Lepisosteus oculatus: one gene and its partners. The protein of the gene in region 2 purifies or fractionates together with the protein of the main gene of each other region. This does not show direct contact. Links are inferred from orthologs where the notes say so. Each region holds a gene or a part of one and is shown on either strand. Other genes may lie near its edges. The genes, in order: NEDD4-like E3 ubiquitin-protein ligase WWP1, arrestin domain-containing protein 3 and adrb2a.

What was found.
Region 1: the proteins of arrestin domain-containing protein 3 (region 2) and NEDD4-like E3 ubiquitin-protein ligase WWP1 purify together in Homo sapiens (affinity purification with mass spectrometry; 4 studies listed by BioGRID and IntAct, counting the BioPlex papers as one, with this or other methods). This does not show direct contact. The link is inferred for Lepisosteus oculatus from reciprocal best matches to the Homo sapiens genes ARRDC3 and WWP1.
Region 3: the proteins of arrestin domain-containing protein 3 (region 2) and adrb2a purify together in Homo sapiens (affinity purification with western blotting; 6 studies listed by BioGRID and IntAct, with this or other methods). This does not show direct contact. The link is inferred for Lepisosteus oculatus from reciprocal best matches to the Homo sapiens genes ARRDC3 and ADRB2.

What each region holds. Positions count from the first base shown.
Region 1 is NC_090701.1:25,938,889-25,948,703, reverse strand, and holds the start of NEDD4-like E3 ubiquitin-protein ligase WWP1, read left to right. Parts: upstream 1-5,736; 5' UTR 5,737-5,867; intron 5,868-9,815. Other genes in the region: V-type proton ATPase subunit d 2, read left to right, coding at 334-411, 2,247-2,408. UniProt on the Homo sapiens protein: E3 ubiquitin-protein ligase which accepts ubiquitin from an E2 ubiquitin-conjugating enzyme in the form of a thioester and then directly transfers the ubiquitin to targeted substrates.
Region 2 is NC_090698.1:72,935,381-72,945,675, reverse strand, and holds the start of arrestin domain-containing protein 3, read left to right. Parts: upstream 1-6,190; 5' UTR 6,191-6,493; coding exon 6,494-6,773; intron 6,774-10,062; coding exon 10,063-10,144; intron 10,145-10,295. UniProt on the Homo sapiens protein: Adapter protein that plays a role in regulating cell-surface expression of adrenergic receptors and probably also other G protein-coupled receptors.
Region 3 is NC_090706.1:28,677,636-28,687,965, forward strand, and holds the start of adrb2a (adrenoceptor beta 2, surface a), read left to right. Parts: upstream 1-6,184; 5' UTR 6,185-6,199; coding exon 6,200-6,370; intron 6,371-6,541; coding exon 6,542-7,753; 3' UTR 7,754-10,330. UniProt on the Homo sapiens protein: Beta-adrenergic receptors mediate the catecholamine-induced activation of adenylate cyclase through the action of G proteins. The beta-2-adrenergic receptor binds epinephrine with an approximately 30-fold greater affinity than it does norepinephrine.

The DNA of each region.
Region 1 (9,815 bases), on a different chromosome or scaffold from region 2:
AATGTTTTAAGATAAATGATCCAAGTGGCTCATAATGAATATTTACTTTCATTTAGTCCAAAGCATGAAAACATGTGAATAATTTTGTAACCGCAAAATCAATATGTTATTGATACAACATACCTTGAAGGAAATCCATTAATTCTCACTTTGTTACAGCAAAGCTTTAGAGTTCTGCCAAAACATTTAGCATGAGCTGACCATGTTGAGGAAAGGAAATGATAGTAACGTCATTAAAACAAGTTACCACAGATGTGGAAGGAGAGGAAAAGTAGCAGAAAATAGCCATTTTCTCTGATTAATTTAAGATTATCTCTACTTGGATTAACACAGGAATATAAACTGATTTTTGAGGGATCCGAGCCAGGTTCTATTGAGAAGACACTAGAGGACAAGTTCTTTGTGCATGAAGTAAGTCCATATTTACGTTGAAATCTCTTCATTTGGTAGAAGCTTTTATCCAAAGCAATTTACAGTTTCATCTGGTCAAGGGTGCATGTACTGTAACAGGGGCATACTGTAAAACAACCACAGAAAATACTAACCTAGCACTAATTAAGTACTAGAATGTTTCAGTGTTGCTTCACAAGTGGGAAGAAGTATCATAAGAGCATAGTCCGTTAGTGACAGTAAGTCACAGGAATGAGCTACACCATTTATACATATGGTACTATGCATTACATTCCTATGTTCTTCAATGAAATCTAGTTAGGAATCCATCATTAAAATAATACATGAATACATGGTATATAAATACACAAATGTATTAAGATTTAACAGTAAAGAGAGTTATTCTATTTTATGAAATGGTGGTTTGAGCGAAATAATGCTGCTGAGCTAAGCTAAGTTAGCAAGTTGTCAAAGAGAAGGAAGCTGTGGTAGTTCTGTGAGTAAAATGTTCCCTTAAAGTGACAGTACTAGAGTGGTGCCAGGAAATATGACACAATCTGAAATATTGACCTCTAAATACCTCTTTTTTGCAATTGGTGAAAACCTACGCCCTGCAAAATTTCATTGTAATTACACTGGAAGTAGAGGTACCTCATCAGCCTTTAACTTACTATTTTTCATGAAATGTGCCTTTCTGTTCTCTGTTGCAAATGTTAACATGATTGCATATAGAAAGTGCACACATTACCTTTCATATCCTTGGCTACAATGTAGAGATAAGTTATTACAAGGACGAGATACTACAAGGGCTCTTCATCTAGGTTCTCCATACCTGTAGCTGCTTCTTCCCACGTTCCTGGAAATGCTCTGATGGGTAGTGCTGACCTAATAATTATTAGGACACTAATAATTATATTAGTTATATAATTATATATAGTTAAATCTGATACTCTGGTTTCTTTCAATAAGCAACTAGAAGAGATCCTTGGATCAATTATCTATTAATTACCAGATGGACTAGATGGGCAAAATGGCCAATGGTCTCCTCTAATAATATAATAAAGGCTTTACCACAGCCCTGGGTCTCTTGGCTTTCTTTATGATGATCCTGAGATCTGGCTTCAATTCAAAAATGCTGAAGCTGCCTAGAAAATTGCCAAGTGGATTGAATATGATCAGTGACTCTGTGCTGCGAGCTGTAGCTCTGATCCATGAGTTTTAATGACTACTCCTTTGTGTCAGGAGATCTGGTACAACACTGAGGACTTATTCATGATTCAGATCACATATCTGGAGCTCAACGATTAAAGAAAACAGATGACTTATGTTTCGATTTCTAATGAGATCTATGGTAAATGCAAAGTCTAATGAAACAGAATCTCTTTGATTTGATTTAAATATATTTCTATCCCATTAATTTTAGCACTGATTTCTTACAGAAGACTGTTTCCTAATACTGCAAAAGAAATAAGAACCTTCAACCTGCTTTTAGTGAGTTTAAATGACCATTTTGAAAGATGTAGCCTATGTGATATTTTTTGTGGTTTTCTGGAGAATTTTTTTTACTGATGATAAAAAAGAGAAAAAGTGAAATGTGAGTGACTTGCAGATAGAAACGGTATTAAACAGCAGCTGTAAAAGCTCTTTTAAAAGTGTACAAATAGAGACCTGCTTTTGAAGGTAAGATGCAAAATTCAGTTAAGACTGGCACATTGTAACTGGTTGTAACAACTAAGAGGTAATATTGTGACAGAGTGGAGAAAGTTGCAGTTCTTTGTTTAACCATGTGATGTGCTTTTAATGCCTGTCTTCTTTAGGCAATCACATGATGTGCTTTTAATTCCTGTCTCCTTTAGGTAAAGTTGAATACCCTGGCTTTCTTGAACCAGTTCCACTTTGGGGTGTTCTACGCTTACGTGAAGTTGAAAGAACAAGAACACAGGAACATCGTGTGGATTGCAGAATGCATTGCACAGAGACAGAAAAGCAAGATTCACAACTACATCCCCATTTTCTAAATTAACAAACAGGACAGAAAGGCAACCAATAGCTTAGCAATTGTGTATTAACCTACAGACATCAATATATTTAATTTGTCTTTCACTGTGAACTTAATAACACACTTTCAGAACAAGGATATACAAAATGCAGCACATATTTTGTAGATGGACATAATACATATACAATACAAATAGTGTGTTTAGAATGTCCTTTTCATTTATTCCACTTTTTATTTTATAGACAACTTTAAACTTTCAATTGTGTGTGGAGAAGCTGGATGCAAATTCTGTGAATGCTTTTACTGTCCATTTAAATTTTTGCTGTACATCCAAAAATACGTGTTGGAGCTATCTTAATGGAACATAATATAAAATACCCGAGACATTCATTTTAATAAATGAACCGAGTTCATCACAAACTCTGTTACACTGTAGTAGTGTTACACTGTAGAAAAACATGGAAGACTCGTGTGTGGAGTGTTGCATGTCTGTCCCATGTTTGTTTAGGCTGTTATTTATCCTGAGCTGGGCTGGATTCTGTCACTGTGGGGAAAAAATGCATTATTATGTATAAAAAACATTTTATTTACAGTACTTAGTACTTAGTGTTGCACTGAGGTTGTGTTGAAAAGCAAAGAGCACACATCTAAAAAAGGGGTGTAGCTTTTCTAGGCCTGGGCACATCTGGGCCTTATGATTCACCATACAGGGCCTGGTCTATTTCATAGCCTCCACATAGCCTATTTACACCTGCTATGAGACACCTTCCTTTCTGTCAACTAGAAGACCATGAATCCTGATACAAAACCCTTCCACAGTGACTGTCTTTCAGTGTCAGCACTGGTCCAGTGGTGTACTGTTTCAGCCAGCCTGTACCTATCTGCCTGTTTCCCGGCAGCCCCATTCCTGTCAGTCCGTACCATCTGCCTGTTTCCCAGCAGCCCTGCTCCTGTCAGCCTGTCATCTGCATCCCCAATTCTGTGGTCTTTTCCAACTGGCCTCACTTCTTTCAAACCTCAGCGCTTTCTCCAACGTAGTCCTTCACTTGGATCTCAGCATGACATAACAACAACAGCATAAAACCAATGTCCCTGTATGGTACCACATTATGACAGATTGGCCATTAAATATCCAATGACAATGTTTGTAAGAGTTAGTTAGTCCGCTTTTTCTGGCTAAATTCCACTCTGTGCTTGCACAATCTGGTCTCCCTAGGTGTCCCTGTAAGTTCAATTATTTACCTGACCTGCTGTGTATTAAGGCTACTACTGAACTTCAGTATTGGATGAAATTGGTATCTCCAATATGTAAACCATTTTAGCATTGCTTTGGAATGAATAACACTATAATTATAGAAATTATTTTAATAAAATATCAAAGATCTAAAATTAAAACAATGTGCAGATGCAAATAACTCAGAAGACGGAAACCTCTCTCAATTTCTGGAAGGTTTTAAAGTCAACTGTCTTGACACTGTAGTTGACATAGTCAAACAAAGCAACAGTTCCTTAAAAGGATGCAAAGTCCAAGATGGACAAGGCTGTCAGAAAGTGAACCAGCAGTCCATGTTGCTTAAGAGATTTCCACAGCTCTTTTAGTGGGTGGACAAATCATAGACCAGAGAAATGGCTAATATTGGTCCTGCAGAGCCACAGTCCCTCGGGTCTTGTATATCCCTTAAATCACTGGATCACAAGGAACTTTGGTCCCTTTAGTCAGTTGACTGATTAAATGACATTAAGAACAACTACGTGCACTTGAAGAGAGTGAAAGGGTGTTGGTATTTTCATTTTAAATGTTTTTGAAACAGCTTCATTTCAATCATATACAGTACCTCAGTGGTTAAAACAACATTGAGGTTTATAGAAAAGATGATTTAAGGGTGACTCATAAAAATCTGCTGATCTGTGGAATTTGATGACTTGTCCACTCCTGACTTGAACTTTTTAGTTTTGTGAACAAATGAAAAAATAAGGATTTGATACTAAAAGTATTCTTATTAAGAAAAAAATCTTGTTAAGAAATAATTCCTTCACAAGAAGAAATTATTTTTGGAAAGTACTTAGGAAGACGAGAAACATATTAAATGAATATTTGAACATGGGATATAAACCAAATAAATTCATGCAATGGTGTAGACACCCAGAAATCTCATTTTAATTAAAAGTGAGAGCTTCTAAAGAAGAGAAAACTACTGTATATCCATATCCATTATTTTAGCTGTGAAGAGGTCAATATATTAGTATTTTAGTCTCTCAGCTATAACAGCCCTGAACAGATAATAAGCCTACCAGATTAGCCTACCTGTTAAAATTCGTGTTTAATGTTTAAGTAGCAAATTCTGTGGATACAAAATAAAAGTACAAAAACTGTCATAACTTAACAAAATAAGTATTTTTCTTTCATCTGACAGTGTCTTCACTGCCCCCCTTTCCATCTAGTGCATCAAATACTTTAGAAATGCTCCACCATCATTTCCAAATCATTTTAATATATTTTTTTACTTCTCAAGACACATTCTTCTAACCGCAAATCTGTAAAATCGGTACTTTGAGTGGAGTCCAATTGTGATTATTGTGGTTAAAATGTAAGAGGTCAAATGACCAATAGAACAATATACCAAATTGGATTGTTTAGAACATTTTAAAATACATTTTAAAATTATTCTAATTTTCATCATTGCAATTTAAAACGATCCTAGTTTTTGAGAACAATACATAAGAAACTAAAGGGATTTCCATTTCTTCCCAAACACTGATGTTTACTGTCACCTGGTTAGTTGCACTAACTCATGAGACAAGACTTAATGCTACTACTAATAATAACGGGAATGTTACTTTTAATTCTCGTCTGCGATGGATATAATTCTCGAGCATTTTACGTTTCGGTTCATTAATATTAATTTAATTTAATGTTTATATTGTAATATTTGTGTGCGTCAGCAGTGAAACTGCGCGTTGATTGATGGAGGGCAGAGCGGGAATAAGGGAGTAACAGACTATGGTTTAATGTAGGAGTTAACGCGTTCGGAGTTACGAGTTAAAATATTTTGAGTGGTGCATCGCCGTCCTGGGTTGTTATTTTATACACTTTGTTTGTATAAGAAACACGACATATATAGATATTTAGATAATGCCTCTGAAAAACCTGGACATTGCTCATACGTGTTGTATGTATTGGCTGTGGCTAAAGAGGGGGGGGGGGTATACAGTACATGATGAAGAATACACCGCGTATGCAAGTTTAGCGCTCACAACGCCAGACTGGGCTTCATCTACTCACGCCTGGGTATCGCAGCAACATGGTAACTGTGCGTGGTGACGTCGCCAGGCGGGAGCTGTGCGTGTCCTGCGTGTGCGCGCACGCTGCGGGTAGAGCAGGAGAAACAGACTGAGAGATGGCAAAAAGGTCTGCTCGCCTGGCGAAGCGGTGGAGTGGTTGAGACTGTATTAGACGGGCACAAGAGCAGCGGGCACGGTAAGAGTTTCCGCCAAACCTCCGAGCTGCTGTTTTGGAAATACGGTGGTACCATGTTCTTCAGATGGGTCACTTATCCCAGGTCTTGTCTCGTCCCCTCCGTTTCAGGCTCTGTGTGTCTTACAGAGGTTGTGCAGTCCGTGCGCTCAGAGTTGTTTGTGTTGTATTGCACTGTACGAAAAGATGGCGGACTCAAGTCTGGAGTGCTGGGGGCCTGTCCCGTGTTTGTTCTGGCTGTTAATAATCCCTAGCCGGGCTGGATTCTGTGCACCGATGAGAAAAAGATGATGATGATGATGATGATTATGATTATTATTACTATTATGTGTAAAAAGATGGTATTGCGTTTTCGAGACTTGGCAGATGAATAGTGTTCATAGCTCCGGTGATAAAACCCGGTAACCCATCGGCTGGAGTTGTGTCGTATAAATATTTTGTTTTCCTCAAAGTGAACTTTTATGACCTGTTTCGCTTGCTTCAACACCGCCGAAGTTCCCGTTGGTAAACGCAAGCAAATTGAATGTCGGGTTGTCCAGTCCTTCAGATTAAGCTGTGTATCGGATTACAAATAATTCAGTCTGCAGGGAAAATAATAATGATAGGAGTTTTAGTATTACTAGTGTGATAAAAATCGGATTTGACATTTAATAAACAATCGGCACGTCTCAGCTTTCCCTCACTGGTGTCAAGACTGGTGGGCCAGGATGATCTGCACAAAATGAAGACAGATTTATCAATTAAGGCAACAAGCATGTGGTATAAAAATCGCAGTATTCTCAGATGTTTTTGTTTTGTGGCGCAGGGGAGCTGAGAGGGGTCTGTAGAGCGATAATCTGCAAAGTTTGAAATATGTTTGACCAGGCTTTCAGATGAGCAGTGCTGAGCTGGGGGAAAAGTTCAGTAGTCTCCCTGTTCACAGGCGGTTTTATTAGAGGAATTACCGTTATCTCTGGTTGTATCGTGTTTGTACGTCAATAAAAATTTGCCAAGTCAAGCACGCAGTGACCCTTGCGATAGTGTTGTGTTATTTAGTTGCTTTGTTTTGCAGAAGTAATTGGGGGGGGGGGCTGCCAGTCTGAGCAGTCTCTGCTGCTCTGTCTCCATGAACCTTTTATTAGAAATAGTGTACTTGTACCTTTGGGTTGCCCCATTATTAATCCGTTTGTCTGATGCTTATATCCATTTGGGCCCATTTGTACATGCTGGGTATTTTCCTGGAGCAGTCTTGAGTGAAGTACCTCACTGGGGGGAAGGCTGACCTGGGGAAGACTTCTAAGACCAGCACTTGACACAAGGGAGTGAGTACTGGAGTTAGCTTGGGCATTTTGAGAAGTGCAAAGCCCCTACGTTTTGTTGAAGTGTGGGACTGGATTGGATTGTGCTCTGTAGTAAAGGTGCTTTACTCAAGCTGCTCCAGTAAATGCCCTGCCATTTAAATGGGGTCTCTTTGGGTCTGTCATTGAACAGTGAGAATTTATCGTTTGAGTTATCTGGTTAAATGAAGGATAAAACAAAATACAAGATCCACGACTATGGGATTCGGCTACAGTTATGCCAGTAAGACTGTCCAGTTAGTTGCACTATAATTGTTCTTTGGAAAGCAGTTTATATCGAATGATCACGCATCTTAATCAAACGATTTTACCTTTGAAAACAGCTGTTGGTGGTGTGGATGGTGCGTGTGCATTATATACTGTAAATGTGTAATGTTGCAAAAAATGTATTTGCAAGGTGTTAGTACTCCTTTTGCATCAATACACAGTCCTAGGCCTAATTGTGGTACACAGTAGATTTCACAGGGCCTTTTTGTCTGTCTTCATGCCACAAGTGGGTATGTTGATTCAGCCTTGTTTTGAAGTGTCATGCTCTCCCTATAATCATGTGCTCTCAGCACAGTATGGGTAGATGAAAGTGAAGCACCCCTGTTATCTGTTCAGCTCCACATGAGCTGGGTATTCCAGGCCTCGACTGATTCTCCTAACCAGGTGGACGGCTGTTACAGAGCTGACTTTCTATGGCTTTTCTGGAACAGGAATTAGAGCCTCACTGATTTGTACAGCTGCCTCCAGGGCTAGCCGTGATTTACAGAATTTGTGTTTTAAAGAAAAGGATAGGAGACTTACTGTTTCTTGTAAAGTGTTTGACTTTGTTTCTTGGTAGGTTGGTATGGTAGATATTGTGCATTTGTTGCCCTGTTCTGTAAAACCTCACACCTGGATTTTCAGTTTTAGCTAAGTAAAGCTAAGTAAAGCCTTTGTCAGATTGTTTTCTGCTTGTTAAGTGATGAGTTGGAATTAAAACACAGACAGTGTTTACCCTCAGTGACTTTACATTGGCACTTGTCTGTCACCACGTGGCTTAAACATTTCTCTCAATGTTATATTTTGGAATATTTTTTTAACATGCTTTTGTTTGATAATGTATTATCCCGCATTATACAGTGACACTGCTGTTCAAAAGCCTTAGACATGTTGTCAATCTACATTTCTATGTCAGTCTTATTGAAATATTAGCTAAATTCTTATATGCTAATAATTAATCCTGAAATGTATTTATTAATAAGTTAGACTCTAGTGTACTTTAAATTATACCTTCTGTGCTTCAAACAAGTTGGGGAAAAATCCAGGAACAAGTGAATCTTTAGAGAATTGTTGAAAGGGAAATTGATGTTGTCCAGGATTCAGCATTAATCCCTGCACACTCCTCCATACAGTATGAATACTTGTTCCTCACTATTTTGTGCAGTGATTGCAATGGTGATGGACTTATAGGTAGCATCTTTTTAGGTGCTGATGTTTGATTGCCTCTTAACCATTGAGAGGTACTGCACAGTGGATGGTCTCCTCCTCATGAGGTTAAGGTGTGGAAGAAACTGAGATGGGTCTTGCTGAGACAGAGGAGGGGGTAGGCATGCAGGGATAGTGGTGCAGCAGACTTTAAAAATAGCTGTGGGAATGTTCCTCTCAGCTAAAATGCATTTTTATATTTACTTACAATATTGATGCAATGTGACAAATGAACTCTGAGAGGTTGAGAAGAAGGGCAAAATCATTCATATACGCTGGCTCACATCCTTTCACTTTCCACTGTGCTGGTGTGGCAGTGGTGCTCAGGGTAGGATGGTGGCTTCAACAGAGCTGGGAAGCAGATGTAAGCAGATGTCACTTGTTGTAATCGGGCTCTAGCCTGAAGGAGGCGTGCTGTTTGTAACTGCCCCTGAATTGGGACTAAATGGGACTGATGGCAGACACCTCCATTCTGTACCTTCTGTACATTCTGTACCTATCACAGCTTAGTAAATAAAATTACAGTGAAGAATCTCCTTAATCTCCACTTCACTCTCAGAATGAACTAGAGAACTGGCCATCTTATCTACACATATGTTAAACAGGTGCTGTTTTAAAGTGACAGTAAAAACGTATTGTTCATTTGTAAGTAAAACTGGTCACTGGCATTTTAGTGGAAAGTTATTGGTCTCACTTGCTTATTGGCACTAATTTCGTACTGATTCAATGGCAGTTTCTAGCCAGTCTCTGTTGCTGCGTTCAGAAAGGGTACAGGAGTGTTAGCTGTCAGGATGGAGGTTGAACATGGTGAGGCATGGCTGTTGGAAGAAGAGGACATTGAATTTTAGGCCACATTATGTGGAGCCAACAAAAAGCCTTGTGAAAGCAGACAATCTTGGAAGTTCAGCTTTGTCTCATATTGTTGGTTCTTGCTTGGACCCTTACCAGCAAGAAATTAGCTTACCTAAAGCGCAGCGCTCAGGAAGCTATCTAATTTGGATTGTTGTGATGTACTGTACTTGCACGCTCATTGGCTGGGTGCTGAAAAAACAAATCTGTTCTCCTCTTTATCCATGGTCTCCAACCCAAGCGTGTTTATTTTGTAGCTGCTCGGAAGACGGTATAAAGGCTGAATTGTAACTGTTTACCTGTTGATATGTTT
Region 2 (10,295 bases):
GTAGTTGGTAAACTGCATATTTGTGATATTAATAAATATTAACCTGAATCACACCTGAAGAAGGCTCCACAGCCGAAACGTTGTGTTCTCTTTCTTTTTTTCAGCATGGAATAAACCTGACGCAGCTACCCACCTAATATTAATAAAGTTGTACTGTACTCGAGCAAGGCCTCGGCGAGAATTATGCAAACAATTTTAGTCGCCACATTTTTCCAAAAATATGTTGGAATCAGAACTGAAATAACAACCTGTCTGATATCGTGACAGGTTCAATAAACCCACAATAAAGTTAATAATAAGTTAATCTCATTCATCTCAATCAGAAAAGACTACAAATGTTGCCTGATTCGTGTTTCTTTGACAAAGGACACAAACCAGGGAACCGAGTTGGAAACGAGAGGGAAATGATACGTATAATTCAGGAGAGGAGAGGAGGCTCTTCGCTCCCCCAGAGGGTTGTTTAGTATGCAGCCTGCCCTGTCTGTGTTGCATGAGGAGAAAACACTCCGCAGTCCGGACTACAACTCCTGTGTTCTCACATGCTATAGGCTGTTGTGGCCACCAGGTGTCTCCATCACACCCATTATGTAGTTTGCTGAGCATTTTTCTCTCTGTGCAACAGTTTTCATGAAACACAAGTATAAGTAATCAAAGAACAGGCACAGAAACAAATATAAGCATTCCAATAATTGTATAAACAAATGGCTTGTTTTAGATTCTGTGTTGTTTTATGAATCTAAAATGAGGCTCAATGAACAAATGTAACAAGTTCACCACCAAGGACGTTGCATAATCCAAAATTTCAATTTCATAATCCCGGCTCTGATTTCCTCTTTCTTACACCACAGAAAACGGAATTTAAATGATTTATGTGGACGTTTTAGACGAGCATAGAATTCAACATAGAGACACTTGGAAAACAAGTTTAAAAGTTTTGAAGACCAGTTTGAACATTGTACACTTAGTTAAAGTGTTCGCTGACGGCTGTTTGAAAGCTAATGTGTCTATCAGCAGGTAAAACAACTTGTTGATGGCGCAGGCAGGTAGCCGGATTATGGATTTGGTATTGTTTCCAGGTGTTTTTACATAATGCCCTCTCATTACAAACTCACTTTTTTGTGCAAACAAGAAATCCTGTGAGCACTAGATTGGTAAATCTTCATCATTTACCTGACCCTTTTCTTCTCAGCTTCCTACTCACTCGTAACAATGAGGTTTTTTGACACTAATGCACTCCAAGGTATCTAATTAACTTGGGGTAGTTATACAGCATTCTGGTGCTTAATGGATTTAATCAAAGATACAGACTTCAGAAATAAAGTAAAATATGTAATTTACTTTACTAGGGGTTTAAAAATCAAATACAAAGAGTTCAGGAATTGTGCTTTTTTTCAAGGTGATACTTGCTTATCATTAAAACGTTCACTGACAATCTTTTGATGATTTATGTGAAATATTTAATCAGCACCTAAATGCCAGCAGCTATGTCACCCTGTCACTCCCAGCTGGAAGCCCACTGGAGCTCAGCAGGTGTGAGCCTGGTCAGTACCTGGATGAGAGACTCCTGGGAAAAACTAAGGCTGCTGCTGGAAGAGGTGTTAGTGGGGCCAGCAGGGGGTGCTCACCCTGTGGTCTGTGTGGGTCTTAATGCCCCAGTATACTGATAGGGACATTATAGTTATTATTTACCAGCGGTACACCTCGAGAAAGTATGCCAGAACCATTAAAAGTATACTAAAAGAAAGTATTATGTCTTCTTTATAGCAAACAATTCACAGTTATGTAATGATCACTGGCCATTAGAGATCTGTTACTATAATAATTTTCATAAATAATTTTATATAAAGCCATTATCTTCTTATACTTCTATTTAGCAATTATTCAGCATCCTTCTAGACCTGTTCCTTTACCACTGTCTTACATACTTCTTATTGTTGTTGTTCAGCTGACATTGTATTTTTCCCCAAAGGGATTTACATTCACACAGAGGATGTCTGTCTTCCACAGAGCCCTGCCCACAGCCCCTAACATACCAGCTACCAAACACTCGTCTAGCTGGCCTCGATTTCTGCTTTGGGATCTCCTCCCTACTCTGTGTTGAGCTTGCAGGATTCCAGGGGCACAGTAAGCCTTCCCTCTCTCGCTGCAGCCTTGTGGGATAGGTGTGCACGTTGCCCACAGAGAGCGAGCTCCTGCGTCTCGAGGAGAATCAGCCAAGGAACAGAGAACACAGAAGACTCAGGAGGGCAGCAGACACAAAGGACACAGGGCTGAGAGGTCTGGCCCTCCCTCAGACACTTTGCTGCTCCACAAGAGAGACCAGGGTGGCATCCAGTCTGAGTGGAAAGGCCGTATTCTCTTACTTACACGTTACTGTTGCCCTGGAAGAGGTGTTAGTGGGGGCAGCAGGGGGCCCTCACCCTGTGGTCCATGTGGGTCCTAATGCCCCAGTATAGTGATGGGGACACTATACTGTAAACAGGTGCCGTCCTTCGGATGAGATGTAAAACTGAGGTCCTGACTCTCTGTGGTCTTTAAAATCCCAGGGTGTTTCTCGAAAAGAGTAGGGGTGTAACCCCGGTGTCCTGGCAAAATTTCCCATTGGCCCTTACCAATCATGGCCTCCTAATAATCCCCCTCTATGAATTGGTTACATTACTCTGCTCTCCTCCCCACTGATATCTGATGTGTGGTGAGCCTTCTGGCGCACTATGGCTGCCGTCACATCATCCAGGTGGGGCTGCACACTGGTGGTGGTGGAGGGGATCCCCATTACCTGTAAAGCGCTTTGAGTGGAGTGTCCAGAAAAGCGCTATATAAGTGTAAGCAATTATTATAATTAGTATTATTACTGTAGTAGTTTGTTTTACCCAGTTTCTATTTGAATAATGAAAGCATACACTTTGACTCATCTTCGTGCACTGCATTCTGAACCCTGGTGAAAGGCAAACGTATATAAAGGACCACAAATATAAATTGCGTTTCTAGTCAACAAGTAATCTAACAGGTTTTCAGTTGCTGTTGTTTTAATCACGTTGCTGTTAAAAGAGGCACGAAGACACTGCGTGTCAGAGCCTTTGGGGTGTCCTCACAGTTAGATGCTAAAGGGGGAACCCCCAGTGATCCCGAGGTGAACCCCACTAGCACACAGCCCTGCCATTCAAGACATCTTTATTTTCATTTTTGGAAAATTACACTTTTCTTAGTTTCTCAGACTTGTTCCAGAAGTACAACATTGAAGAAAAATATGACACGACATGGCTGCAGCGAGAGAGACAGTCCGAACAAAGTCAAACCCACAGATGCCCCTGGACAATGTCTTGCACACTTGGCCAACTGGGGATGGACAAACCATTCAATTACAGGACCAGGGCAAGCTGGAGGTGTTAAGGAAGAGGAGATGGGATTTTGTTTTCCTTCAGTTCCCACCTGTTTTCTTACACTGTGTATCTGTGTGCAGAATGTTTATACTTTATTATTGTCTGGGGTGAGCTGGAATGAGCCGAATGCATTTCTAACTCAATCCTATCTCATGAGAGAGAGGGACCTTCGTCTGCACTAAAACAATTAATGATGGCTCAGCAGTAATGATGCTTCAATATTAAACGCGCAGGAACTCTTATAAAAGCCTCAATAGAATCCTTGGTGTGATAAAGGTCTGTACTTTATCACACCAAGGACTGCACCTCCATAGCAGGGGTTTCTGGACTTTCTCACAAAGTGGAAATTAAAATGATGAAAATGAATAAACTCGAGCAGCAGGTATAATTTGACGCACATGGGCGGCCAGTTGTGAGTAGCAGGGTGATATAGCTGCCTGCTACAGGCTACAGGACAGCTAGAATCATTTTAAATAAATGGGACAGCAGTCTCATTAAAACAAGGTTCACATTACAGGACTCGGTCTCCAAGGCTGGCCAGGACAAGGTCCTCTCACATGAGACAGGCTTCAAGGAAGAGAAGGGAGATGTTTTTTTCTCACTGTTTCTTTCCTATCTTCCTTGGTTTCCTCTGGTTTTGATATTCTGTGTTTCTGTGCGCACAATGTTATCCTTTATTATAATTCACCGGAGTAATTCACCAGAAAACCCCCTTCTGATCATCTGTGTTTTTGCTGCCTGTAACCTGATCTACAGCTCTGCAAATATATCAAATTAAACCCATAAAATTTTCTCCATAATGTATGAGATTCAATAAAGATAAAGCCAAACTTTGAGATTATATGTTTGAAACATAAGGTATTCAACGCGATACTTTATCGCTAAGAATGAGTACTCTTTTGAAGTATTTACTCGGAATGGAATTATGACCCCAGATGAACACTAGATGTCGTACTCTCACCGTAGCAAACTACACTGACCCACACTGAGTTTCCTTCTGCTGGTTTACCGGTGTGATTTAACAGAACCCATTCAACAAAGCCGTATCCCGAAGAATTCCATAGAAGACCTACTAGAACAAGTACAAGCATTTTGAAATAAATTGTTATAACAAGACTCAGATATGCATCGCAGAGCTAATGGACCAACTAGCAGCGCCATATTACCTAGCATGCACTGTGCATAGGGCCTATGATAATTTAACGATCACGATATGAAATATAACGATAACGAGCCTAGGATAAAATCGATGTCCACATTTTAAGATATTTCTATAATATAAACTGTAACATAGATATTTTTGAATATATCCCATACACAGCGACGATGGGCCATCTGAAACAAATCATTCAACATAATTTTGATCACGTATCTAATCTGAGACATCAGAACTCCTATAAATACTCCTCCACCTAATCCAGGGACTGTGAAAGAGAAGTGCCCAGCATCTACAAGGTTCTTTCTTAATCCAGCTCTGCAAACGAGTAAAATCCCCAGGACAGTGTGCCACGTGTAGGTGTTCTCCTTCACAGGAGGCGTTAGACGAAGGTCCTATTTGCTCGCTAAAGACCCCTTGTCCGTGAACTTGTCCTTGTCTGTAGGAGCAGAGCTAAATTCCGACTCCGGGTTTGTACTATGTGCCCTCCTTGAAATTCTCATTAATTCACCTGGCGATGTCCTTTCTCCGCTTGCATCCAACACTAGGTGGCGCTGCACTTCACTGCTGGGGGACGTGGATCCTGTCTGTGGAGCATAAAAGGGGAAAAACAACTATTCTTTTGAGAACGTGGCTGCGTCACCATGCGTAGGCTGCAAAGGGACACAGGTAAAGGTCTGTTCCCTGCTGAAAGCTAAAGAAAAGAAGCACAACGTTTTAGCCGTGTTCCTTCGTTTTGCTTTCCCTTTCAGCAAGAACCGAACCAGTATCTGTTCCGAAATATTGTTAGACCTGAGACAGGCTAGTATCCACTGCTTCGAAATGTACCAAATTGATTTTAACAACAAAATGGCATTACAATACTTAGGCTTCGCAATCAAACACTAACTACAGTAACTAAAAACCGTCATCTGTGATGCAACTGCTCAACACTGCAGCTCTGTGAACGTTTCTATAACAGCTTTGCGTGCAACAGGTACACAACAGGCACAAGTGCTTTGCGCACTTTTATTTGCCACAAGGTGGCGCTGCATAGCGCTTTCCCTGCTGCTGCTTCCTGACGAACCGGCGAGCAGCGCCGTGTAGTTTTCCCTCACAGTGCGGCGGCAGAAACTGCTGATCGGGAGAAAGCTGCAGTGGATTTAAAAAGTATGAAAGTCAGAGATGTTGTATTTATGTGGAGCGGACGATTTAATACGCTTAAGAAAAAAAAACGATCTGATGTTTTAAACTCCATTAGTTTGCTCCAAACTGTGCATCCAAACAATGCTGCAATAGGTCACGCATCGCCGCTCCGCTGCGAACTCGCAGCGTTCACGCCACACAGCTAAACAGACAGGCAGCTCTGCGAAAGGGCTGATCGCGGTGTTGCTGTTGTTTGTTTGTTTGTTTGTGTGTTTAACCGGGTGTTGCATGTCTAAAAACCAGGGCTCGGCCAGGCGCGAGCCGCCGGCGCGGGGCGCGCACGCGGGCTGGCCGGGCGGCTCGCGATCAGCTGTTCCAGTCAGCTGGCGCGGGGCCAGGTGTCAGCGGAGCCACGCCCCCTCGCTCGCGGGAGGCGGAAGGAGCTGGGAAGGAGGGATGGGAGGGGGAGCGCGGCGCATGCGCGGTGGGGTTGTTTTTCACCAAATCCTCGCTTTTAAGTGAGGGGAACCGGAGCAGCAGCTCGTCTTTGTACAGAGACCACGGAGAGGAGGAGGTGCGCGATAACAGCATCGAGTGCTGTTATTTAGCCTACCAGCATCTCAATGAACGGCTGGCGAGGGAAGCACTGATCCTGCCTGCAGCTCTTGCACGGCAAAGGCGTCGATCAGTGTGTTTGTTTGTTTGTGTGTGTGTGTGCGTGCTTTGCTACGATCACTTTTTTTTTTAATTTGGTCGTGGCTGTCTGCTCAGACCTTATTTTTTTTATGTGTTCTTAACAAAAAAAACAAAACAAAAAAAAAAACCCGAAACCATGGTGCTAGGCAAGGTGAAGAGTTTCACAGTCAGCTACGACTGCCTGAATGACAGCGCCGTGGCCGTGTTCTCCAGCGGGGACTCGGTCTCGGGGAGAGTCGTCATTGAAGTCACCGGGGAGATCCGGGTCAAGTCCCTGAAAATCCACGCGAAAGGATTTGCAAAAGTTCGCTGGACCGAGTCGAGGAACGCCGGGTCCAACACGGCGTACACGCAGAACTACACCGAGGAAGTGGAGTACTTGAACCACAGGGACATCCTGATCGGACACGAGAGAGGTAAGGGGGAACGCGCCGCTTCTGCCTTTTCTTTTTAAGGACTCTGGGGGGTGGAAATGTCACGTTTCCGTGAGCTGCCCTGTCCTCTGAAGACCGTGATCCCGGGGCTGTCATGGTAGTTGCACCGAAATTCTGCCCTTGGCTAGAGAGAGACGCTCGGCTGAATGCCCCCCATATCCCAGTAGTTCATTCATTCCGGCCCCAGGAGTGCAAGATCGATTTGCACGTCCTCCTTCGTCGAATATTGTGTGTAAAATGAGCGTCTCCCCTCTCCCTCAAGTGAGCGTTGGAGGTCCTGGACCTCTCGAGTGGGTTAGCGAACTTCTCGAGTGGGCTGCAGGTTAGGTCAGGCAAGGCAGTGTGAGTGAAAAGAGAAACCGAATCGCCTCCACGGAGCTCTGAATACACTAGGTAGTTTTGCCAGTCGGGGTCCGGTTTTTAAAATGCAGTCGCTGTTAATACTGACAGGAAATATCTGAAGGAATTTCAGGCTGGGATGTGTAGTTGGAAGAAGATGCCCGTTCATCTTTCGGACAGTGAGAGGTTGCGAGTACTTCACACACCACGAAAGACAATTAACTGCTTACTTGTCGTTGTTTTTTTTTAATGTACTGTGTGTGTATATATAGATTTTTTTTTTTTAAAAGTAGTTCATTTTAGACCAGAACTCGTGTCGACTCTCGGGACAGCAGGAGTCAATGCGGTAAACGTGAAATTTGGTAAAAAGAAATTAGAAACGGCTCACGGCGCCGCGTCCTTGGACGTATGCGGGAACCCGGGGTTATGCCCGGGCTCTTTGGGTTTTAAATCTTTGTTACATTTGGCTTTTTTTCCCCCAAAAAAGATGATTTCCTTAAGTTTCCACCCTTTGTTAAAAGCGGTTCAATCCTGTTCAGAAACTGGTTGCTGGGGAGGAGGGGGGGGGCAGCGGGCTCTGCCGTTCTCGCCCCCCGATTGGCTGGGCGCGGTCACGTGTGCGGCGATGACCTCATGCCTTTGCAGGGCTGAGCGAGCGCATCCCCACCTGTCTTTTCCTGGCGCACGTCTGGGTTCAGCTCCCATTCCCCAACCCCCGGTTCCTCCACGGCTGCCCCAGGAGTCGACCCCCGGTTTGCGCTCTCTTGTATGCCGGAGGCGGAAGGGGGGCCGGGGGACGGAGATTTCCCCATCGGCAGTTTAAGGGGCGCAGGCAGTGCCAGTCGTTGAATCGCAGTTTCTGGGAACTTGCGAGCACGCAGACCCCCGGAGTTGGAGCCAGGCTCCTGGCGGTCCGGTGGTCTGTGTCGTTTTAATCCGCAGCGGCATGGGCGACAAAAACTAAACTCCCTTAAGCGCCGTCTCCATTTCTAAAACACACAAATTAAACACACGACACTTTGGCTATTTCCTCTGGAAGGGCAGCTGTAGCGGTTGGCGAACCGCCGCGCGTACACACTTTGATTTTTGTATGTTTATTTTATTTATTTTGCTGTGTTTACACCGCCGTCGCGGTGCGCAGAAAGCTCAGAAAGTTTTCGGCAGGTTTGGACACTTGGGGTTGGTGCGCTCGGGCCGGCTGGGCTGGCCCCGCCCCCGCCGGGCGCCCATTGGCCGAGCCGGGTTTGTTAGTCCTGTTGCCAAGGCAGTGCTGGAGCCTGATTGGACTAGAAGTTATCAGCTGCGCGGCGGACTGACACGTGATTTCCATGCTTGTTCCGACCAGACTCTTCTACAGCCGGGTCTGGTCGCTTTTCTCACCCTTTTCTAAACTGTAATGCGCTTCAGTCCGGAGGACAGGCACCGGACAAGCCTGTTCCAGCTCTTTCTTTTGGGATGTGACTGTACTTATTGTGTGTTTTGTACACTGATGTAAGACGCGAAACGCTTATGTTGTGGGAGCAGCACCGCAGTGGTGCCCCTTCCTGGCATGTATCTCATCTGTATGATCTCAATGTGAACCTTGGTTGGTTGTTTTTTTGTATATTTATACCTTTCTGCTGCTTTAGGGGAAGAAAAAAGCTGTCTCCCCCCCCCTTGTGTAAAAAAAACAAACAAACCCGCCGCTAACAAAATAAAAGCGAGATGAATTCTAACTTGTTCCGCCTCCTGCGTCTTTATTTGCTATTGTGCATTTTCTCTGTGGTGTGGTGTGTGTGTGGGGGGGGGGAGGTCTCTTGATTTTCTCACCTGGAGGGGTCTGTTACGGAGGCCGGCCGGGCGCTGGGGCGGCTGCAGTGCGCGGGGCGGCTCGGCAGGGGGCGCCGCGAGGGAGCGAGCAGCTTCGGTTTCTGCAGTGCGTGCGTGCGGGGGAGCTGCTCGCGCCGGTTTAGGCCGGTCCTCTCCTGCTCGAGTCTGTCTGTGATTGACAGCTCAGCACTTGTTTACCAGGACCGAGCTGCTGCTGCTGAGGCAGGGGCAGAGCGCTGGCGCTGAGCTGGCAGAATTGTAACTTTGGGGGAGAGGCGCCCGGTGTGTGTGTGTGTGTCTCTCACAAGCTGTGCATGCGTGCGTTTTAAAACGCAATTTAAAAAAAAAACCCGATAAAGCAATTGTTGGGAGTTGTCAAACTGTGCCAAACGCAAAAATGAGACGAAAGCAAAAACTAGTCTGTCTCTTGTTTTCGCGCAATCCTCTGAAATGGAAGAAGGGCAGTGGGTCTCCTTCAAGGAAGGGAGTTTGTTACAAATGCCACAACCCCCCCACCTCTTTCCCAGGCCGTGTCCGAATGAGCGGGCGCTCTGGTGGGGAGAGCACTGCGATGGGTCCTTTGTAGCGCCTCAGGAGTGTGTGTTGGGGGGTCGTTTGAAAGTGGTGTGTGAGCACTGACGGGGAGAGGGAATGCTGATGTTTTTCAGGAGGAGAATAAGGGGGAATTTGTTTGCCATGACTAGCCCCCTATCGCCTTTTCTTCATGCTCATGGGCGCGGGAGTGGAGCTGCTCTGCCTATGAGGGTGTTTATTGGAGACTAATAGAGATTCATTACCTTTGTTCTAGGAAACTGGTTTCAATGCAAATACACATCGAACCTTTTTTATGAGACTTGACTTCCTGTTTTTTTTATCTACATTTATAAATGTTTAACATATCCGGTTTCCAGAATTAATTGTGACCTGTGTAATTTTTATCCGTCTTTTGTTTCTGTTTTTTTGCAGTGATGTTTTAAAATGTTTCAATTCTGGTATTTTTCCTTACCTAGAAATGTGTTTTGAACTGTTTTTTATTTTTTTTTAATTTCCATACAGCGACCCTCATATCTGTTTCACAGGTATGGTATACGTGTATTTGGAATTTTGTTTTCCTTTGTTTCAGATGAGGACAACTCTGAAGAAAGTCTCACCACTATCCATTCAGGAAGACACGAGTATGCATTCAGCCTTGAGCTTCCACAAACGTGAGTCTACTTGAAAGATGTTTATTTGCTCTCCCAGACTTCATAGATTTTGAAGCTGTCAGTCTTTGTCTTCTGGAATAAAATAAAAACAAAGTTAGCCACCTAATGCAACTCTGAAACTTCCCAGTAAGAATATAAAACCGTTTCAGAT
Region 3 (10,330 bases), on a different chromosome or scaffold from region 2:
ATACTGCACAGATGAAACACATATTTAAAACTGTGAACAAGACTGGGATCTAAGATGACACCAATATTCTGTTCTGATTAACTGAATCCAACACCATCAGTAGTCAAGCTGAAGTTGATCAGGAGATTTAAACTGCTACTGTAGCTTGCTAGAATTCAAATGTAAAAAAGAAAAATATTGCACCCATTTTAAAAGAACTTTCTAAGTTGGGATTGTCCGATTCAGGCCTGTGGCTGCCAGCGTGTCATCAGGTTTTTCGACAAACCTGTTCCAGTTCGGCTCTTAAGGAGCTATTTCGATCAGTTCATCAGTTCACCAGTTCAAGTGCTGGTGCTTTAAACAGACTGGCAATACCTGCCCCAGACTCCACAATTTAGGTGTCATCAGAAAAAAAAAACGGAAACTGGTTTTCCTTGACTTAGCTCACAAAGTATTGGTGGTTACCACAAAACAAAGAAATCCAACTGAATATCACGCCTTCATTTGGGTTTCTGATGGGATTTCAAGAACGGATTTTTATAGCCAGTTTTCAACCCACCTGCCCTAAAAGCAAAGTCCAGTTGGTTTGGTGAACGATTTCTCCTTAGCGTTTGGAAACTAACACCAAGCTATATTACAGTCCCCGTAGTAGGTCTACACTGCCCGTCTAACAGTGCGCCAACTGGTCCCCCACAGTCGCAGGGAAAGCTGTAAAAGGACAATGTCCGTGCCACATCCCACAGTGGCACTGTGAACATGGGTGCAGCAGTCTCCCACACTGAACAGAACTTACTTCTTTGCCTCCAACAGAGTCCAGGATGACGAGCGGCCCGCGGCTGACCTGCTCCTGATCTTTTCACCCCTCGGTGCGGAAAGGGCAGACGGCCATGCCGCGGTGTGAAACGAGACTCCTAGCGGCCCGCCCGCCCAGCCCATGCCAGGGGTACCAGCCCACAGCATAAACAGACCTGGCACCACAGCCCCGTGCAGCTGCTCCCACTTACAGCACAGCGAGGGGGTTTTCTTATCATCTCTCCCTCCCTCTTTATTTTCCTTACAAAAAAAAGACACAGCAAGCCAGGAAGGTTAACGTCACCGGCCCAGCGCTGAAGAGGTGCCCGGCTAAGCACAGCCTCCTGCTTTTGTTTCTGGAAAGGGTTGAGATGCCACCCGTGTGCCAAGAGCCGATACTTGATATTCCTGGGCTCGGCGTTCTTTAACTGTCTCCGCTCAGTCCTATTTCACTGGATGCTATATTATTCCCACCCGAGGGTCCGGGACCATATATGGTGTGTAAATAATATCCTTACAGTAATACAGCGCTCTTCTGGACCCTCCACTCAAATCACTTTACAGGTAATAGGACTACCCTCCACCACCACCGCCACATGGATGATGTGACGGCAGCCATAGTGCACCAGTACACTCCCCATACACCAGCTCTCAGTGGGGAGGAGAACAGAGTGATGAAGCCAGTTCAGAGATGGGGATTATTAGGAGGCCATGATTGGTAAAGGCCAGGGGGGAACACCCCTTCTCTTTTCATGAAGCATCCTGGGATTTTTAATGACCATGGAGTGTCAGGACCCCAGTTTTACACCACTTCATCAGTTTTACGACCCTACTGGTCCCACTAACACCTCTTCCAGCAGCAACCTTAGCTTTCCCAGGAGGTCTCCCATCCAGGCTCACACCTGCTGAGCTTCAGTGGGCTGCCAGCTGTGAGCTCCAGGGCGAGTTCCAGGGTGCTGGCAGCTATCTCCCTGTGATAAATCACAGTTATCTCCCTGGGGGTGGGAGTTTTAATTGTTACAAAATTGTTAATTATTTTGTCATAGCAGTCTAGCAAGAAAAGGGCAGCTACAGTAGCCCTGGCTCATTTTGTTTCTATCTGAATGTCCTTTAAAATCTTATGTATAGCCTACAGTATAGTATCCCATTTGGGGGATACTGCACTGCCATTTTCATGAATTTAGTATAATACCACAATGTCTAAAACCTGACAGAATTAAGATTAAATCTCTTACATGACATGTTATAGGACTTGCATTTAAATACTAAAAAATAACAACTATAAATAACTACTAAAAAAAAACTACTAAACTACTAAAAAAAAAATAACTACTATTTATAGTACAAAACTATTCACAGTATTTAAGTTCACAAATCAGGTGAATTTCTTTCATTAGTTTCTTCATTGCACTATACAGAATGTCCTGGGATCCTCTGATGCTAAAGATAGCCCCCAGCCTCAGTTGTGCCAGACACATTGGGTTCACAGGCTCTCAGGCTGAGCATACCTTGAATGTAAATGTGTAGATTCAGCTTTCCAGATCCCAAGACTCTGCACTGTATCAGTAGATGCACAAGACTATGGAACAGAATTTCTGCAAGCACATTATGATACAGGTACATTACCAAATACAACAATACTAGTGTAATAAGCAAGGTACTTATATGTATCAAACATATACACTCTTACCTACATGTACGTTGATAGTGCTGTTAGTCCAGTGTAATAGTAAGTGTGCTTACATGGTTGGTAATGTACAGTACCTGGACTATAAAGTGTTTATGGATTTGGGTTGTTTATAGAGTTAAATGAGACTGAGTAGACTTTCTTCAACATTCACCAGGGGGCAGTGCACTTACTTTCCTATGATGATATACTGTTTCAAGCACTTGAGTAAAACTGGTTATGATTTAGTGATATTGATGCAACAAGTTCTCAATTGTTCCAACAAGAGAGCACTTTCTCCGTGGGATCACCCTGCCTGACTCTCTGTTAATTCAGTGTTGAGGAGTTTACAGATAATTATTGCACAGAAGTAAACACAAGCTTTGATTTGTCCCTTATCAGAAAGCTAGGACTGAAAGAACTGTTTTTTTTTTCCTGGTAAAATATTCATTTAAATAGATTTGCGATACCATTTAAAATGATTGCAAAACCGCAGAGAAACAGCTTTTCTGACTTGTGGTTTTGAGCGGAGAGGACACAAGGGCTTATTCTGGAATGTGACTTAGTTATGATAGGTGCTTCTGTTGGGGCACATAAATTGATTCTTAACCTTCTTAACCATGAGGAGACCTCAGAGGTAACCTTATTCACACAATAAAAGAAATAAAGGCCATTCTATATCTGCTGTCTTCAAAAGGAACCCATAATGAAAAGAACAAAGCTTAGATGCTTAAAATGAACACTGGCCACCTTATTAAAAAAAAAAACTCTGATTGCATAGCAAAGTGCATTCATCATTCCAGAGAGACTGAGAGAGACAGATGCAATCTCACTAGTGCAGAGTTTTCCAGCAGAATTCCAACTCCAGGTCTCATTTACTCAATTGAAATTCAACCGTTGCTTTGCTGGGAATATATAAGATTTTTCTCTGCTCTTTTGCTTTTGATGACTTTAACAATGGCCTTGGCTCCTGACGGTTATTGAGGCACACGTGATGGTCAAAGTGCCCCAGCTGACTAAATAACGAGACCAGTTTGGAAACAGGACATTTGACTGGAAAAAACTCTGTTTCTTTTCAAACCCCTGAGCGTCTCATAAGCCTGTCCCTGGATATACTGGCAGCCAGGATTCCCTACACCTGTACAAAGAACACAGGTGGGACTACAGTATATTCTCCCTATTTCCTCTGTGGCCAGACTGATGCTGGGCCGACACATGATGTACACGAATAGTGAAGGCTCTTCAGTCCCCAGTCAGAACTCTTTTTATAGTGCGTGACTGTGAGCTCTCTCTCTCCTGGCTGCAGCCTGGTACTATTAATGTTCGACTGGGAGGCCATTTTAAGCTCTCGGCAAATTTATTGCAAGGTGCACATATAAGCTTTGATGTTTGTGTATCTCTCAGGGAAAAAAAAAAGGTCATGCTTGTGGAGCTTTAAATATGACAGCACCATTTCATAGTGAAGAAGTGTGGACATTTGTGTATGCAGTACGCTAGAAAAACTGCACACCTTTTGTTTCTGGGTTCCAAAAGTCAAAAGCTGACTCAGAAGACAATGCAGGACTTCAAATACAACCCGATCGTGCCAACTTAAAACTGAACTACTGTACAATACGTTGTTGTTCACTATCTCGTATTTATTGTTAACATGTTTTATTTTTACTGGTTGTTTATTGACTGTATATATCATTATTATATACCGTTTTGTAATGTACTGTCTACGTCGTGAGGTGTCTACTGTCGTCTGCTGCACTGTGCACTGTACTGTATGTCCCGGGTGAACGGACAATTAACATGTCCATATGGCAATAAACTCATCTGCTCTGCTTGAAAGGAAATGTACTGTACTGCATGAAACCTTGTTAATTATTTGTCGTGGAATTATACTCAGGTGTGGTAAATCTGAAATATTACGAACAACAATATTAATAAGGCGATTAAAGTAGTCACAAAAAAGAAATCTTTTTTTTGTGCTCTTTGCAAGAAAGACTGCTTTCTTGGCAGTCTCGTGCTATTGATTAAAAAACGTATTCAAATACGTTTCCTAGGAAATGTATCTTCCTCTAGTCAAATAAAAAGGTCCGTGCGAATAACGAGCCATTTATCCTTTTTGAAAAAGTCACTATCGTCGCTTTTCTTCCGTTTCTCCGCGCCTGGTTTCTCTTACACCAGGTGACGGAACCAACGCTTTTTTAAATTCAGAAATGCCGAGCTTCTGGAAAGCTGTGAATTGTTTAAAATGTATTATACTTAAATATTCATGGCAAGGATGAGTGCTGTCAGGCATAAATGAACACAACTCGCTTATACATTCCCTGCACAACACAGAATTTTTCAAAGTTAAACACGCCGTTAAAAAAGATCCTTCCAAACTAAGGAAAATAAATTCGACTTCTTTGCGTTGTTTTGATAAAAAAGCTTAATAAAATGTCTTTAAATAATTTAACTGAAGTGGTAGCTGAAAGACGTGTTCGGATGGATTTTGTTCACAGAAACAAAAGTAAAACAGTGGCAAAATTCACACGAAACGAATATATCTACATGGGTTTTCCAAGACCTGTCAATATTTCAGAAACAGTTCCGAACACCTAAGATACTAACTATACATCACTTGACTTGCGGGCAGACAAGATGCGCGGGAGAAGGATTTTTGAGATCAAGACGGTCTCATTCAACGCTGTGTGCCTGTCTACACGCTGGCAAGTTTAAAGACAAAACTCATTCACAGAGGTTCGGATTAACGAGTACAATACAATACGGGATACAATACCTAAAATATCACCGCAGACTCGCCTGGTTAAAAATAAAGAACAGCTATTCTGAAAGTAATCATAGAATGGGTAGCCAACGGCTTCCAATCAATCAATTAATCCCTAGTTTTGCATAGCACCCTTTTCTGAGCACAATTTAACATCTAAAATCAGATACAAAAAACATTCAAAACAACCTGCAACAAATATGCAGTAACAAACAAGCCAATATACAAAAGCAAACAGAAAAACGGGAAAATAACATTAAAAAACAACGATCCTCTCAGGAATTAGAACCGGGAGATAATTGTCCCTGCAATTTCCCTCACGGGATCAATAAAGTATCTATCTATCTAAATACCACTTTCTCGTGGACAAAAAGCTTTTTCAAAAGTCGCACTGACTTTTAGTCACACTGTGGATTCAAAACAAACACTCCATTTATTAGCCCCTGCAGTTTCAGGTTAGGACTTTCAAATGTTTTTTTGTTCACGAAATGAAAAGCTTATTTTCACATACATACTGTATACAGTACTTTCCTTTGACCTCAGTAGGATTAATCGTCCCATTGACAAGGAAACTTGGGGCAGACTTGATTCTGGGGGGCACAGAAGTTGTTCTTAGCCTTTTGTCACGAGTTTCAACGGTTTAGAAAATTAAGACAGTCACCCCAATCAGTCAGACAGCCAGCACAAACCGAAAGAGAGACACAGAGAGGGAAAGTAAAATCTGTTCTTTTGCATTTGTACTTCTTCCTTCGAGACAAGACCATAACAGACTGATAAGCTATAAGAAGCTGAGCTTTTTGACATATGCAGCACTTTATACTTCCTCTGTTGATTTGGTTCACAGACAGAAAGTGACCAGTCCGATGTTTCACACAACAGCCTTTAGCGCTTTGCCCTCCTCGCCTGCTCATTGGCTGCTGGAAATGATGTCATCGCCCACCCTTACTATAAGGTTCTGTCAATAGCCTGCGAGCACCATCCACAGCCAGGAACCTGCATACTGTATGTGCCAGACTGCAACGCAGCCTCTGAAAGAGTGGGACAGAAATGAGCAGAGGAGAGTGCGACAGGGCTCTTTCGGGAAGTGTCTAAACAGATTTCGGACATCAAAGAGCAAAGGAATAAAGCTGATTGATGTGGGAGAAAAGAAGAAGACAAGAGCACAGCAGGAGAAGGTTAGTAAACTTTCTCCCCCCCTTTAATAACTAAACACCTGTTTTATGTTAAAAAAGCACAAGCAAAAAAAAAAGTGTTTTGTTTTTTATCGGCTGCCCCCCTTGTCTTTCTACCGTTTAAGCGGTCCATTTATTGACCCGTCTGTCGCTGTTGCTGTGGTTGTTTCTCAGACCATGGACCCTCTCAGTAACAGCTCCGCGTCCAACTCGAGCAGCCCTGAGCACAGCGAGGCGTCGCTGGTGGCGTTAGGCATGCTGTTGTCGCTGCTGGTGCTGGGCATCGTGTTTGGGAACATTCTGGTCATCACCGCCATCGCCCGGTTCCAGAGGCTGCAGACCGTCACGAACTGCTTCATCATGTCGCTGGCCTGCGCCGACCTGGTCATGGGCCTGGTGGTGGTGCCCTTCGGGGCGTGCCACATCATCCTGAACACCTGGCACTTCGGCAACTTCTGGTGCGAGTTCTGGACGGCCACGGACGTCCTCTGCGTCACGGCCAGCATCGATACCCTGTGCGTCATCGCCCTGGACCGCTACCTGGCCATCACCTCCCCCTTCCGGTACCAGTCGCTGCTGACTAAGTGCCGGGCCTGGATCGTGGTGGTGGCCGTGTGGCTGGTGGCCGGCCTCATCTCCTACCTGCCCATCCACATGCAGTGGTCGGTCTCCAAAGACCCCGAGGCCCAGAGGTGCCTGAATGACACCCACTGCTGCGACTTCAACACCAACACCGCCTACGCCGTCACCTCCTCCATCGTCTCCTTCTACATCCCCCTGGTGGTCATGGCCTTCGTCTACGGCAGGGTGTTCCAGGAGGCCAAGAAGCAGCTCAAGAAGATCGACAGGTGCGAGGGCCGCTTCTACGTCCAGAGCGGCCTCCCGCAGCAGGAGAGCAGCGGCGAGCCCAAGGGGGGGAAGGCGCCCCCAAAGAGGGCCTTCAAGTTCTGCCTGAAGGAGCACAAGGCCTTGAAGACCCTGGGGATAATCATGGGAATCTTTACTCTCTGCTGGCTGCCCTTCTTTGTGCTCAACGTGGTGGAGGCCATTGGCCAGTTCCAAAACACCAAGCTGACGTTCAAGATTCTTAACTGGATAGGGTATGCCAACTCGGCCTTCAACCCCGTGATCTACTGCAGGAGCCCCGAGTTCCGGCACGCTTTCCAGGAGATCCTGTGCCTGAGGCGGTCGCCTTTCCCCACGCTGGGCCCGCCCAATGGTTATGTTTACAGCGGACACAGCTGGCAGAACGACCCGCAGGCAAAGGGCAGATCGAGCTCGGAGGACAGCGTCACCCCGGAGGGGACGCTGGCCAAATGTCGGGGTCCCCTCTCCGGGACGGACACCAACGGCAACTGCAGCAAAGCTCTAACGACTGTTGTATAACTCGCTGACTCCCCCAGGGGGAAAAGGGGGAGTTTTTTTTTGGGAGGGGGGGGGGACACATTTTATGAATGTGTTTGAATGTACAAGTGGGGAATGCAGGGGGTGAGACTGTGGGCGGGGGTGGTGGGCGCCATTGAGTGGGTTCTGCTAAAACGAAAGGAGCCCACTTGATCACATTCGCTCTCACGGCGGGAGAGTGGGTCTCTGCAACTTTAAATTTCATTTCACCTACCTCATTGTTTTTATTTTTAATTTTTTAACGAACTAGGGACATTACTTCTTTTTTAACGAATGCAAGAGAGCAATGAAGCCAGGCTTACGTTCTTACAACGAAAGAAAACTCCGGATCCTTTCAAGAGCGAAGAAAAAGGAAGGGCTCTTTTTTTATTGAAGGACAAACGTGAAAACGGTACCATAACAGTATTTAATTGACGTCTGCCGACCATGCTAGCAAGCGGTTTTGTAGAGTTCAATATGTTTTGCTCCAACAATGAATTATCTTGGGGGGAGTCGAGGGTAAAAGATTCAGAGTGGTGTCTCGGGCTGTCTAGTCTCAGGATTTGCACAATGTGGAAGTGCAGTCTTAACTTTTAATCACTCACTAAACAGGACGTCAAGGACAGTGCACTCGCGATCGAGTTTAAATCCGCCTTTGACAAAACTGAAGAGAAAACAAAAACAGGAAAAAAGAACTATAACGAAGTATACTCAAATTATTAGCTTGCACAGCATTCATCTCGTCCGCATCTTCAATACATTCCAGTTTCATTTTGTGGAAAATTTAAAGCGAGGCTTAATAAAGCGCGGCGCTGTCGACTCTGCTCCCCAACAGTAACCCAACACTCAGAGGGAAAATAACAGGTGCAAAGCGCCGCTCTTTCCGTTTAGGAGGAAAGGGCTGCAAAACAGTTGAGCAATGCTCTTCGACAGTTACAGCCCCCGACAGCTTTTCTGATTGGTAATACTCTTGAAGGTTAACCCCGTTTTGTCTTGTGGCTGCGGTGTGTTGAGTTTGCCGAGACTCCCATTATGGGGTTCAAAGCTGAATCGAACCCAGTGCAGGGGGGAAGGCAGTCCGGTCTGGAAGTCAGCTAACAAAAAAAAACAACCCAAGGCGAATCCAGGCTGAATTCCAGCTGTAGCCGCTGGTGTAAAGTGTAGATACCAGAGGCGGTATCGAGGTGTAGTGGTGGGGTTTCGGATTCCCATCTAGAAAGTTGTGGTATCAAATCGCAAGGAAAAACACGCGAAGTACTTCACCCAGATCGCAGCAGTGAAATGCTCGGGTGTGTAAACAGAAGTTGGTCTTTGCCGATACAATCGTTAGCCAATTAAGTTAATAAAAGCAGATGAAAGTCACTCTGACCATTCTGTAACTACAGTACAGCCATTACCAGACAGACAGCACTACCGACTGTTTCGACTGCTACTATTAAAAAGCACACTCAAATGTATCGATCTTAAGCTTTTGAGACGTTTTTGCTGTCGTGGCTTCTCGTAGGAAGAGAAATCTTTACTGGAGGCTGAAAAGGTTCCGTCACGACATTTACTGCGAATGAAAAAGGGAAGATGAGTTCCTGCGTATACAGTACAGTATATCCGACTCGCAAAGCACCCGAGTCGAGTATTAACCGCAACGGCTCCAGTCCATTCTTGCCTCTCAGAGACCCACCAGTGCGTCTACACACCTGTCTCTGCTCTGGTCTAGAGGTGTTTTCTGAAATACAGAGATGAAAGCATCCGGGCAGGAAATCAGACCGGGGGCGGTTATAACGCGCGCAGTACGAAAATACATTTAAATAATTTCAGCCTTCTCGAAGCAAACTTCATGCAACAGAAAATGCATTTTGTGATCATTTGCGCCCATTGCATGCACTGAAAGAAAATCGGAATAGCTGTCTCTATTCCCAGTGTGCCTCCTATCACCAGCGTTAGCAATCGGTAAATTCGTGAAAGTGGCTTATTGAAATATACTGTAGGCGGGTATCAAAACTGTGAACTTATCGTAATCACAAGCATCAATATAACTGGCATTCCTCCTATTCACTTACAGTAATTACCGTGTTTTCAGGCTCTAAAGCGTTCTCTTTAGAAATCAAAGCATTGTCGTTCGCCTTTCATCCCCTTTTCATTTGTTGAGTTTGATCATATAAATATCGTTCAGATATTAAGAAGGGGCACTTTCTAATACTGAGATAGTTTCATCGTTCACTGGTACTAAAACAAAAAATAATCGACATATACGGAATAAAAGACATACAATCTGTATGTATATTTTGTGTATATGTAGACCTGTACAGTGTATGTGCACGGAAACATTTTTTCTTTGCGAGATCATTTTAATGTAAAAAAAAAATATTTGTATAAACGTCTGTAAGTGGATATCAAATGAAATCCATACTAGAACGGTTTTTCACAGCCTTCTCATTTTTGATGGTGCATACCAGTTAGAAAACGTGAGATATATTTTTAAAATTTGTTTTAAAACAAATGATTCTACATAGAACTGCTTGAGATGCACTTTTGTAACGTGAAACCAACCGTGTGGAAGAATTTGTATACACCGCCCTCTGCTGG